Linked DNA regions of Arabidopsis thaliana. The protein of the gene in region 1 purifies or fractionates together with the protein of each later gene. This does not show direct contact. Each region holds a gene or a part of one and is shown in the gene's direction. Other genes may lie near its edges. The genes, in order: LTP3 and AT1G48610.

What was found.
Region 2: the proteins of LTP3 (region 1) and AT1G48610 fractionate together in Arabidopsis thaliana (co-fractionation; one large-scale study listed by BioGRID). This does not show direct contact.

The regions. Positions count from the first base shown.
Region 1 is NC_003076.8:23,926,017-23,932,394, forward strand, and holds LTP3 (lipid transfer protein 3), read left to right. Parts: upstream 1-2,937; 5' UTR 2,938-3,034; coding exon 3,035-3,372; intron 3,373-3,466; coding exon 3,467-3,476; 3' UTR 3,477-3,800; downstream 3,801-6,378. Other genes in the region: AT5G59330 (Bifunctional inhibitor/lipid-transfer protein/seed storage 2S albumin superfamily protein), read left to right, coding at 5,398-5,661. UniProt on the Arabidopsis thaliana protein: Plant non-specific lipid-transfer proteins transfer phospholipids as well as galactolipids across membranes. May play a role in wax or cutin deposition in the cell walls of expanding epidermal cells and certain secretory tissues.
Region 2 is NC_003070.9:17,969,918-17,976,532, reverse strand, and holds AT1G48610 (AT hook motif-containing protein), read left to right. Parts: upstream 1-3,130; 5' UTR 3,131-3,452; intron 3,453-3,729; 5' UTR 3,730-3,734; coding exon 3,735-4,223; intron 4,224-5,103; coding exon 5,104-5,166; coding exon of another isoform or gene 5,167-5,211; exon of another isoform or gene 5,212-5,419; coding exon 5,420-5,506; 3' UTR 5,507-5,922; downstream 5,923-6,615. Other genes in the region: HON5 (high mobility group A5), read left to right, coding at 232-471, 557-1,450, 1,987-2,061, 2,155-2,385; ATHAL3B (Flavoprotein), read left to right, coding at 6,453-6,615. UniProt on the Arabidopsis thaliana protein: May bind DNA.

The DNA.
Region 1 (6,378 bases):
GTTTCTTCTACTAACCAAAATAATTAGTTTCTCCAGTCATATGTAATTATGTAAACAATAGTATCAGTTTTCAGAATGTACAAAGACCAATACGTCAATATATATACAGCTATACTGTTAAAAAATATATATTCATTTATCTGCAGTTAATTAAACTTGTTTTTTTAATTAGCATGTTTAGAGCGATGTTATACTGTAGTAGACAAGAGAAAATCGTTTAAAAATTTGTATCTTCGTTGTAGATGAAATGTCAGCTATTATGTGTACTATATATGTAATACCGTCCAATTAAATGCGATGTGCAGCTGATAGACACGTGTATCCAACACTAAACATCACAATTCTCCCATCACGTTTACTAATTATGGCCATTATAATTAGCAAAGTTCACATTTTATGACTTACTACATAATTGAATGATAGAGGTGCTATATGGAGTTTTTCTCGATATTTCGTATAATCATTAACATAAATGCGTTTGTCAACAACAAAAAAGATTTAATAAATAATCTGAATAATAACAAAATTTATTATAATCGTACGCCAAAAATACGTTTTATAGCCCTGCAGGAAGATTTTTACGTGAATGCCACATCAATTCAATGCATAATTTTGTATACGAACCATAATAGGACGAAAAAAACAGTCTTTTTCTAACTATACTTGAAACCAATTCTAGACTCAAGCGGGAATAAATACACGAAACCGAATTCGTCTTATGCAGTACATAGCATGAATGCAATATAATCTCCATAACACTATCGCTCTATAAGCCATATATAACTCATAGTCACATGCAGTCTCATATATGTCTCATAGTTACACATATTACAAAATGTCTTTAACTTTTGTGTTTCCTTTCTACGTACGCATGTGATGATGCTTCTCCGATGTCTTAGAGAGCTTGGGACGTGAAAGGTTGATGTATGGTGTTGGATACTATCAGCCAAAAACCGTCAAGCAACATCGTACAAGATTGATAAATGTCTCACATGTGTAGTACTTAATAGTCACAATTTGACTACACAAACCTCTACCGACACTAATGTAGCAATTATATCATGTTATATGCTCTTAAGGTATAGTATGTATAACAACATTTCATTCTGTAAAATATCATCATTTATATCAAATTTATGATATATAAAATATCATTATCATTTTAAAATAACACTAAAATAATCAGTGCAATTCCGTATAATCTTCATATGAAACTGCAAGAATCCTTGGTGTTCCAAAGATTATGATGATTATTGTGAGCTTTGATTTATGGTTTCCATCTTGTCAAAAAATGGCTTTTATAAATGGTAGAGCTTTCTTAGTTTTCCTTAAGATATACACAACAGGTTACAAATATAATTTATTTTTGCTAAAAGAAATAGTTATAGTAAACTTGTAAAAACTACTACAACTATTTTATGGAAAATGTCTTAAAGCTGTTTCAACTTTTATACACATTACTGCATTTACTATTCTGAAATCAATTTTTAATTAAGGTCCTTGTACTATAAGGAATCCTTTAAATAAATATAAATATTAACAATAAAAAAATCCAAAATTTCAGAATGCAATGGTCTTACAATTACAATAATAATGTATTTGATTGTACTAAAAATATACCTTAAATACTCACCAATTATCTTTTATAATATAATCCACAAATTTCTGGAAGAGGAAAAACAAGTAAATGCAAGTCACATTTCACATTTCAAATTACCAACTACCAACTACAAACTACTTCCGCGTCTCAAATTGAACCACTAATTAATCACTACTTTATATGCTCATCATTCTTTTTCTTTCATTACAATTCTAGAATAATGACTTAACCAAAATTCATACAAATAAAACAATATTTTGGCTTCCTTCACCAGGCTAAGAATTTTGGTATTGAAAATCTAAGTACTTCATAAGAAACTGTTGGAATCATTTAAAATTTGTGATCATATATAAAAAAATTTATTCATCTTTATATTTAAGAGTTTAAAAACTGCAACTTTTGTTTTTCTTTCACTAAGTCTTATGGCCACAGTTAATTAAAAGCAGATGAAAGGTGGTCCAATGGAAAAGGAGAATGTGATTGGGCTAGTTGGGAGAGTTCTGATGTCTAGTGTTGGGTACACGTGTCCGTCAGTTACACATAGCATTAAATCAGACGGCATGTCATTATTCAAATCTAGTTCACATAGTACGACTAATAGCTGATAAATTAATGATTATACAGCATATGAATTATGAATTCAAAAAAAAAAAAAAATTGAAAATGTTAAGGAGATGCTATATTTTACAAAATTCATCGCAATGCTTTCTACTAATTTGCTAAGTGGTCTTCTCCAGTTAGTCTTGTCGATTCCAAGCGATATTATTAAATCTTGAAGCATCGCTCAAAGCATTATAGCTTAAGATAACCAAATTGTTATTAAAAACACCTAGTGAAATTTTTAAATTAAAACAATTTTGATATCTTTGTAATATCTAATACTACTCTTTCTGTGTCTAAAAGGATTAATTTTCAAAAATTTCACACATATTAAAAAAAAAAAAAAATTACTAGCTAAACAATTTTCAATAATCATAAAACAATAGTAACTTAATAATTTTTTTTTATTTTCAAAATAGTCCTTCAAGTTTACAATTCATTTTAGTATTATAATCAACAAAATTTGTATTAAAAAGTTGGAAAATTAATCTTTGTGGAACAAAAAAATCTAGAAATCATTTTTTAGAATTAGAGAGAGGTTTGATAAAAAAAAATAAAAAAAAATAGAGAGAGGTAGTACATACTAAACGATGTGATACTACTATTGACAAAATCTTAATTCTCAGTTTAGTAGAATAAACTAGAAGGAATGAATGAAGTAAATGCGAATCCAACTACTAACAAACCCTACTTAGTCATCATATTTTCCCATATGAAATCCCTATATAAACCCATCATCATCTCCCACTTTTTTCATATCCAACAACAAAAACATAAGCTAAGAAAACGAAACTCAACTAATTTTGTTATCACCCAAAAAGAAGTTCAAACACAATGGCTTTCGCTTTGAGGTTCTTCACATGCCTTGTTTTAACGGTGTGCATAGTTGCATCAGTCGATGCTGCAATCTCATGTGGCACAGTGGCAGGTAGCTTGGCTCCATGTGCAACCTATCTATCAAAAGGTGGGTTGGTGCCACCTTCATGTTGTGCAGGAGTCAAAACTTTGAACAGTATGGCTAAAACCACACCAGACCGCCAACAAGCTTGCAGATGCATCCAGTCCACTGCGAAGAGCATTTCTGGTCTCAACCCAAGTCTAGCCTCTGGCCTTCCTGGAAAGTGCGGTGTTAGCATTCCATATCCAATCTCCATGAGCACTAACTGCAACAAGTAAGTATTTAGTTTTGTTTTACTTGATCTAGAGACCATGAATTATTTTTTCTAATGACAAAATGTGTTCTCTTGATCGTTTGGATTGTTGCAGCATCAAGTGAAATGGAAGCTTACGTCGTCGTTTTGGCGTTAAGAGTATGGTTTACCAGAAGTACTAGAATAAAATACGGCTATATATCTTAGCTGATATTACCATGTATTTGTTTTTGTCTCAATGCTTTGTCTTATTTTCATATCATATGTTGTATTGATGTGCTAAAACTATGATAATAGTACCTTATTAGTCATCTTCTTTCTAGATATCTCCTCCAACGCATACGAACGTAATAATAATATGTGAAGAGTTTTATAACTATTAAGTAACCAATAATATTAAGTTCCTAGTTTTGGAGTGACATTATTTATAAAATTGATATTTATACGAAGAAGACATGCTCAATGATTTTTCTCCTTTAACCCAAAAAAATAAATCTCTCATCCATACTGATAAAGTAAAAGCTGCTGCATCTGCAATAGAAATTTTACCATTATCCGAAAAAATAAAACTTTACGTTGACCAACCTAATTAAATAACAAAAGTAATAATCCTAATTAAATAACAAACACCTAACAACATTGTTTTTTTTAATCTAAGAACAATGTTATCAATCTTCACGATTTGATTATGCATCGAAGAAAAAAAAAAATTTTTTTTTTTTTTTTTTGGACAAAATCGTTACTAATGTCATGCAAATTTTATCAACTCTGCGTTTGCGTCAAGTTACTAATGTCATGCAAAATTTCGTCCAATATCGTGTTGTAATACCTTACTACGCAATAACGCAAAGCCATCTCAAGTTCCTCGTCAGCGACTTAAGCGGTTAAGCCCATTATACCGCATCTGATACTCTCAAATCAGATAGCATTTTTCAAAGTATGGTTGCTAGTGAAAAATTGTCAGAATTGATCTCCTGATTTGGTCAACATTTGGAGCTTAGCCTTTAGGACATTCAAGTCATAGTCATTGACTCAAACCCGTAATGTGCGTTGGGCTTTCATCAGGTCCGTTAAAGGCCCAGAATCTTCAACTTATTGAAACCATATATTGCTCAATTTCCAAAACCAGCTTGGTTTAATTTTAAGGACTCCGATAACCGGACTTACATATTAAACTCTGCTCCTGGTTTATTCTTCAAATAAGCTGGTTGGGAGAGTTGTCAATTTGTCATGTTTGATGTTGGATACACGTGTCCCTCAGTTATACATTGCACTAATTGGACGGTAATTGAGATTTGGCATAATTAAATCTCCGATTTCTAACCAGTAACCGCCATCTCCATCCTTTTAACTGTTAACTTTTTAAGAGAAAAATATGCACAGTGATGACCTTGCTTTGAATCAAAACATATATCTTAAAATAAATAAAGATATAGACGACAAAAAGTTAATGTACATAGTAACTGATAAATATATAGATCAATTTAGATATAGTACTCATAGCTAAAAACAAATTAAATTGGTGGAGGATACACTTAGATATGTTCCTTAGTTTCTCATTGCATTGAATTGAAATATGAACGGTACTGAAATAGTCCGTACACATAGCTAGCAAACTATTGATTATATATGTACGATATCGAAGATTAGTTATGCTTTGCTAACGTATGTTTAGCAAAGCATGTTATCAGTATTACTATTCAAATCTTCTGAATCGCTCAAAAGTATGATATCTTAAAATACGAAAATATACAAAATAAAAGTATAAAAAATAAAAGTAAGATACGTACTATTGTTTACATTTGACTATAGCAAAACATTCTTTCTCGTTAGTGGAAGAAACAAGAATAAAGTAAATGCGTATCTAACTTCTAACAAACCCTATACTTAGTCACCATTTTTTCCATCTAAAATCCCTATTTAAAACCATCATCACCTCCCACTTTTCTCACATCCAATAGCAAAACACAAGCTTAATTAGAAAACAAGACTTAACTAAACCTCTACTTTTGTTTGTAATAACCAAAACAAAATAGAGCAAACACAATGGCTTTGGCTCTCAGGTTCTTCATATGCTTCGTTTTGACGGTGTGCATAGTTTCATCAGTAGATGCAGAAATCTCATGTGGCACAGTGGTAAGTAACTTGGCTCCATGTGCCAACTACCTTTCAAAAGGTGGTGTGGTACCGGATCTGTGTTGTGAAGGAGTTGAAAAGTTGAACGGTGTGGCTCAAACCATGCCGATGCCTACAGTCCATTGCAAAGGGCATTTCTGGTCTCAACCCAAGTCTAGCCTCTGGTCTTCCTGAAGAGTGCGGTGTTAGCATTCCCTATCCCATTTCCTTGAGCACTAACTGCGACAAGTAAGCTTTTTTTTAATTGTTGTACATATATAGTTAGTCTCCTCTCTTTTTCTTTCTAATTAACTTAAGTACTCATTCTAACTAAACACCATGATATAATTTTTATTATTTGGTAAGGTATACGTTTTGATTGTTTTTATTGTTGCAGCGTCGAGTGAAGTTGGAGCTTAATTATATATATATGTATAATCAGATTATGGTTTTAACATAAGTAAAATAAAATGTCTATGTACGTACGCTGATCTCACCGTGCCTTTTTCTTGTGGCTTTGTAATCTTTTGGTTGTTCTGAATTGTAACTTATCATGTTAAAGATAATAATAACACCTTAATTAATCCTCTTTTCTTGTATATTTTTCCAACGCCTTTGTTCGCAACACTCTTAGTGACAAGTTCTCTAACAAAAGATCACGGATCTGAGCCTTCTGAAATGGTGAAAATCAACTTGTATCATTTTAAGTTTTTACAAAAGTGGAAAATCAACTTGTATCAACTTGCATCTATAAACTTCCATTCACCACCTCATCATAAAAAATGGAAATCAATTTGAATATATTCTTAACGCGTCATTAACAAATAGAATTTGCTTTATAAGGTCTCTTCTCCCATCCATAACCCTGACCCTTGGTGATTTCGGATCGGATAACCCACCCAACTCCACTCT
Region 2 (6,615 bases), on another chromosome or scaffold:
GTCAGATTTTAACTATCTCATCTGTCGTCATTTTCGATCTCTCTCTTACACTACTACACACACTCTCTCTCCTCCAACCTAACTATTTTTTATTTTTTATCTTCTCCTTCCACAAAACTTTTTTAATTTTATCTGAAAAATTAAAACAACCGAAACAAAAAAAAAAAACTAAAAATCAAAAATCTCATCACCTTCCTTGCTCTGTATTTTTTCTCTCTCACTAAATCCTCCATGGATCCTTCTCTCTCTGCAACCAATGATCCTCATCATCCTCCTCCTCCTCAGTTCACATCTTTCCCTCCTTTCACCAACACCAACCCCTTCGCCTCTCCAAACCACCCCTTCTTCACCGGACCCACCGCCGTCGCGCCGCCAAACAACATCCATCTCTATCAAGCAGCTCCTCCGCAGCAGCCACAAACATCTCCAGTTCCTCCTCATCCATCTATTTCCCACCCTCCTTACTCTGACGTAAGCTCTTCTTAGCTCATTCTTACATTTTGACTTTAAAGTTAGGGTTTTTAATTTCCACTCACTTTTTTTTTTCGTTGATTAGATGATTTGCACGGCGATTGCAGCGTTAAACGAACCAGATGGGTCAAGCAAGCAAGCTATTTCGAGGTACATAGAGAGAATTTACACTGGGATTCCTACTGCTCATGGAGCTTTGTTGACACACCATCTCAAGACTTTGAAGACCAGTGGGATTCTTGTCATGGTTAAGAAATCTTACAAGCTTGCTTCTACTCCTCCTCCTCCTCCTCCTACTAGTGTAGCTCCTAGTCTTGAACCTCCCAGATCTGATTTCATAGTCAACGAGAACCAACCTTTACCTGATCCGGTTTTGGCTTCTTCTACTCCTCAGACTATTAAACGTGGTCGTGGTCGACCTCCAAAAGCTAAACCAGATGTTGTTCAACCTCAACCTCTGACTAATGGAAAACTCACCTGGGAACAGAGTGAATTACCTGTCTCTCGACCAGAGGAGATACAGATACAGCCGCCACAGTTACCGTTACAGCCACAGCAGCCGGTTAAGAGACCGCCGGGTCGTCCTAGAAAAGATGGAACTTCGCCGACGGTGAAGCCAGCTGCTTCTGTTTCCGGTGGTGTGGAGACTGTGAAACGAAGAGGTAGACCTCCGAGTGGAAGAGCTGCTGGGAGGGAGAGAAAGCCTATAGTAGTCTCAGCTCCAGCTTCAGTGTTCCCGTATGTTGCTAATGGTGGTGTTAGACGCCGAGGGAGACCAAAGAGAGTTGACGCTGGTGGTGCTTCCTCTGTTGCTCCACCACCACCACCACCAACTAACGTAGAGAGTGGAGGAGAGGAGGTTGCAGTCAAGAAACGAGGAAGAGGACGGCCTCCTAAGATTGGAGGTGTTATCAGGAAGCCTATGAAGCCGATGAGAAGCTTTGCTCGTACTGGAAAACCCGTAGGAAGACCCAGAAAGGTAAAATATCATTCCTTTTTGTCTCTGCGATTACACAGTGATTATAGAGAACTTGAATATTTCTAGTCAAATAGATAAGAGAATAAAAGTTGGAACTTTTGTCTTGTGAATAAATGTCACTTTCCATTCTCAACATTGTCTCTTTCGAGCGTGTGTGTGGAGACTAGAGAGTATCTAACTAAATAAATTCTAGAGTTTAATTTATATTCGTGTCTCTGCTTTTGGCCTATACTTAATCTGGTTTTGTGGTGTACTATTAATCTAAGATATCTCTTTGTTTGGTAATCAAGAGCAACTTGGTAGGTGGCTCGCTTTAGCAACCAATAATTGTTCAGTTGAAGTGTGAGAATTACATATGAACTTATCTTTTGAGACAGACATCTTATCAAGTTTTGTCTGTTTTAAGCAGAAATTTAGTTAATTCAGTCAAAGTTCAAGAGTTTGTGTATTTCCAAGTCCACTAGAATTTCTTTGTCTATTATATTGATGAGTTAGTTATCTAATTACATTTATATTATTGCCATTTATAAACATAGAATGCGGTGTCAGTGGGAGCTTCTGGACGACAAGATGGTGACTATGGAGAACTGAAGAAGAAGTTTGAGTTGTTTGTAAGTAATCTAATGAACAGAAACACAATATGGTCCGTCCTTGGTTTTGATACTTAATTGCTTATGCTTGGTTTTGATATCTCATTTATGCAGCAAGCGAGAGCTAAGGATATTGTAATTGTGTTGAAATCCGAGATAGGAGGAAGTGGAAATCAAGCAGTGGTTCAAGCCATACAGGACCTGGAAGGGATAGCAGAGACAACAAACGAGCCAAAGCACATGGAAGAAGTGCAGCTGCCAGACGAGGAACACCTTGAAACCGAACCAGAAGCAGAGGGTCAAGGACAGACAGAAGCAGAGGCAATGCAAGAAGCTCTGTTCTAAAGATAAAGCCTTGACATAAAAAGCTAGCAAGTGGTGGGTTTACTTGTTGTGTGTTACATGAAATTTTTAATCTTATAAGGGTGTTTGCAGGAGAAAAACAAAAAGAACAATGTGATGAACTGATGATGATGATTGTGTCTCTAACCAAACAACAAGGAGAGGTAGGGTAATGTCTGTAAAGTGAATTAGGATGTTACCATTGTTCATGCTTCCCATCTCTCTCCATCGTCCATATCTGTGTAGGCAGCTTTGTTCTTTGTTCCCTCGTGTTTTTTTTAGACTGTTGTGTCTCTTATTCTATTTTGTCTCCTTAGGCTTTTTAGGAGTTGTTGTTGATGTTTATCAAAAACGCTTATGTAATTTTTATGACCACTTCTACTTTTTATGATGGTTTCTTCAAGTCTCTTACGTTATGTAGTTAGAAAACCATTAAATAAAAGTTGCTTATGTCAGTTGCTCTGTTTTAATTTGAAATCCGGTTTTAATTTTAAGTGTACTTATTGCAGAAATTAGGTAGAAGGTATAGAACGGTTTTACTCTTCACTCACACACCATTTAACCAAATTTCTAAATTTATTACTCGATAAACACTTTTTTAACAAGTTTTCAATACTTTTCTCCAAAAAAATTTTGAATTTGAAATAAAGTAGTGTATTTTTCGATTTTGGTTTTATAAATCAACTTTTTTTTTTGAAAAAGTTAAAAAGAAATCACCACCACATTTGCATGTTATACTATAATACCAAAAAATTAATATTCGTGATTTATTTTAAAAATCTGTGAATTAAAAAGAAAAATGAAATGTTGATAAATAAAAATAAAAACAAGGAGTAAAGGTGGACCCATATCGGTTGACGCAACTGATTCTGAACCTCTCGGTCGTTCGTTTCTACTCTTTCCAAGCTCTAGCCCATGGTGGTGACCTTCTTCTTCTAACCGCGAAAACCATCTCTATCTCTCTTATCTTTCTTCTCCGCCAAGTTTCTCTTTGTAATTTCTTTCTTCTTCCTCCAGATTCTTCAAGCTTCCTTTACCATCTCGCGAATCCTTCTATTAAGTTGAACAAGGTACGTACATTGCGATTTGCGAACCCTAGTTTTTCTCAAAACGAAATCTCTACGCGTGAGAGCCTGAATCTGTGTTTTACAGTCTTCGTTTCTAGATTCTAGGTTTGTGACATTTGAAATTTCGTTAAGGTTTTAGCGAAATCGAGTTTCTGGTTGTTTAGTTTAAGTCTAGTCTCCGTTGATGTCCGTTTTTGCTAGGGTTTTGATTCCGATTAACCGCCGTTTTCTCACATTTTGCTTTCTCTTTTTTTTTTTTTTTTCTGATTCGCATCTACAGATCTCATGGCGAAAACAGCTCTTACTCCTCCCGCGTCTGGTTCCGAAGTTCCAAGATCCGGTACACCTGGAGATGCGTCTGGCAACAAACCTCAAACGGATGCCACCGGCGTCTCAGCTACTGATACTGCTTCTCAGAAACGCGGTCGTGGTCGACCGCCAAAGGCTAAATCTGACTCTTCCCAAATCGGTGCCGTTTCTGCGAAGGCGAGTACTAAACCAAGTGGTCGTCCGAAAAGAAACGTAGCTCAGGCTGTTCCTTCTACGTCTGTGGCGGCGGCTGTGAAGAAACGTGGTAGGGCAAAGAGGTCGACTGTAACGGCGGCTGTGGTTACTACTGCTACTGGAGAGGGTTCTAGAAAACGAGGGAGGCCAAAGAAAGATGACGTGGCGGCTGCAACTGTTCCAGCAGAAACTGTGGTGGCTCCAGCTAAGAGACGTGGAAGGAAACCTACTGTCGAAGTAGCTGCACAGCCTGTGCGCAGGACTAGGAAGGTATGTTTCTCTTTAATTTCATTATCTTTATTCACAAAATGTCAAAAGAAATTTAGAAATGGTCTGATACCAATTATATGATTGTTCTTGACTGTTTGTTCTGTATAGTGTGGAAATAATTCAGGGTAATGTCTTATTTGACTCTGGTCTCAAATGTGGTCTACTTTTAGGATTGCAGTATCTGAAATTCCCCGTATTTTTAGAAAAATGTGTATCTTATCTGGATTTTGGTGTATTTTGGGAAAATGTCTTATTTAATATTGTTCTTCTTGACTGTTTCTTCTGCATATAGTAGATAAAGTTCAGAGTAATGTCTTTATTTGTCTCAAATGTGGTCTATTGTGAGTGTGAAGTATCTGATATTATTCGTAATTTCTTTGAAAAGATGTGCATCTTATCTGGATTTTGGTGTATTTCATTAAATCTTTTTTTGTATAATGTGGAAGTGAAAGTGATTGGTCTATTTGGTAAGAAGTTATCATGTAATTTGAGTCCAAATAAATTTCACAAGTGTTTAGTTCATGTTAGACATAACAATGCTTAATGTATAATTTTAACAAAAGGTATATACCAATTATACGGTTGTTCTTGACTGTTTGTTCTGCATATATAGTGGAAAAAGTTTAGAGTTGTATGTTATTTGTCTCTGGTGGTCTCAAATCTGGTTAATTTTAGGTTCTGCAGAATTTGAAATGATTCGTAATATTTTGAAAAGATGTGTATAGTATCTGGATTTGGTGTATTTCTTGAAATCTATTTGGTTAGTCATTATCATTTCATTTGAGTCAATATCTACAAGAGTTCATGTAAGACATAACCATGCTTATACAACTGTGTGTATACTTATGTCAAAGTCGGGTTTTCTATGCATGAACAAAAGAGCACTTCAGTGGCACCGGTAGCTGCAAACGTCGGAGATCTCAAGAAAAGAACCGCACTCTTAGTAAGTGAACTATCCCCACTTAGCTTCTATAATGGTTTTTCGTAAACATTACTGTATCCCTGCATCAATTTGATTTAGACATTATGTTGTGTGGAGCACAAAGGATACTAGCAAGTCAACAGAATTGTTAGATTATGTCGTATAGCCTAGAAGATGGAATTGAATGGTCATTTGATTAGTTAATTAAAATGGATTCATTTCAACTAAAAAGAAAGAATCTGATGATAAGTTACTGAAATGAAAAATGTTGCAGCAAAAGAAAGTGAAGGAAGCTGCAGCTAAGTTGAAACAAGCAGTAACAGCAATTGACGAGGTCCAGAAGTTAGCGGATGGAATGTAAAAGAAAGCTACTGATATGACTGAATCCTACAAGGGATAATGATGATCGAGAAAGAAATCTTCGTATGTGTTTTAGGGAATTTAATTAGGAGAAAACATTCATTTGGAGGAAGACTGATTGGTTGTTAATGTTTGATTTTCACTTTAGGGTTGTTTGTTTGTACGTTTCTAGGATTTTGCTACCAGAAGAGGTTTAAACAGTAGTGTTAAAATGGTCTATGTGTAGCTCGGAGATGGGGGAAACTTTCACTCTTCCTTCTGAATTTGATTTGCTACGTCTTTGTTATCAAGAATTGTAACATTCTTTTCCTTTGAGGTTTATGAATTTGGAGTTATAAGAAGCTTAGTAGAAACCTAAATATCTCTGAAACTGTCAAATATCTTCACTAATTTGAAAATCTTATTCTGAAAACTGACACTAGTCTAATAAACATAATTGATAGTTTTCTATATATTAGAATCTATAATCGTTATGGTGCAAGGGAAACATAGTTGATTGTTAATAAAACAATTTAGGGGGACTTGAGAAACATTAACATTCGTATTTGTGTGACTGGGTCATAGTCTTACTGAACACAAAACCAGAATAAGGTTTTTGGATTGTTTCAGTTTCTTGTTGGGAAGGCCCATTTTTGATTAGTCAACGACCAGATTGACCAGCGATGACGTCGACTTCTCTGTTTTGTTTTCAAACTTAAAGACCCTCGCGGCATTTGATTTCGATTTCCGATTAGGGTTCCTCGCAGATCCTCCTTCCTCGGCTGTAACAAGGTAATGTCTCTAACACAAACTTTTGAATCCATTGATCTCTCGCTTCCTTTCTGATTTGACAAAAGATGATCGTTAAAATCCATGTTCGGATTCTGAATTCCTCTCTGAGAAATGAGAATCTCATAGATTGTTTGTATAAAATTTGATCCTGCTTCTGGATTCAGATAGAGAAGAAGATGAATATGGAAGTGGATACAGTAACAAGGAAGCCTCGTATCTTACTAGCTGCAAGTGGAAGTGTGGCTTCAATTAAGTTCAGTAATCTCTGCCATTGTTTCTCAGAATGGGCTGAAGTCAAAGCCGTCGCTTCAAAATCATCTCTCAATTTCGTTGATAAAC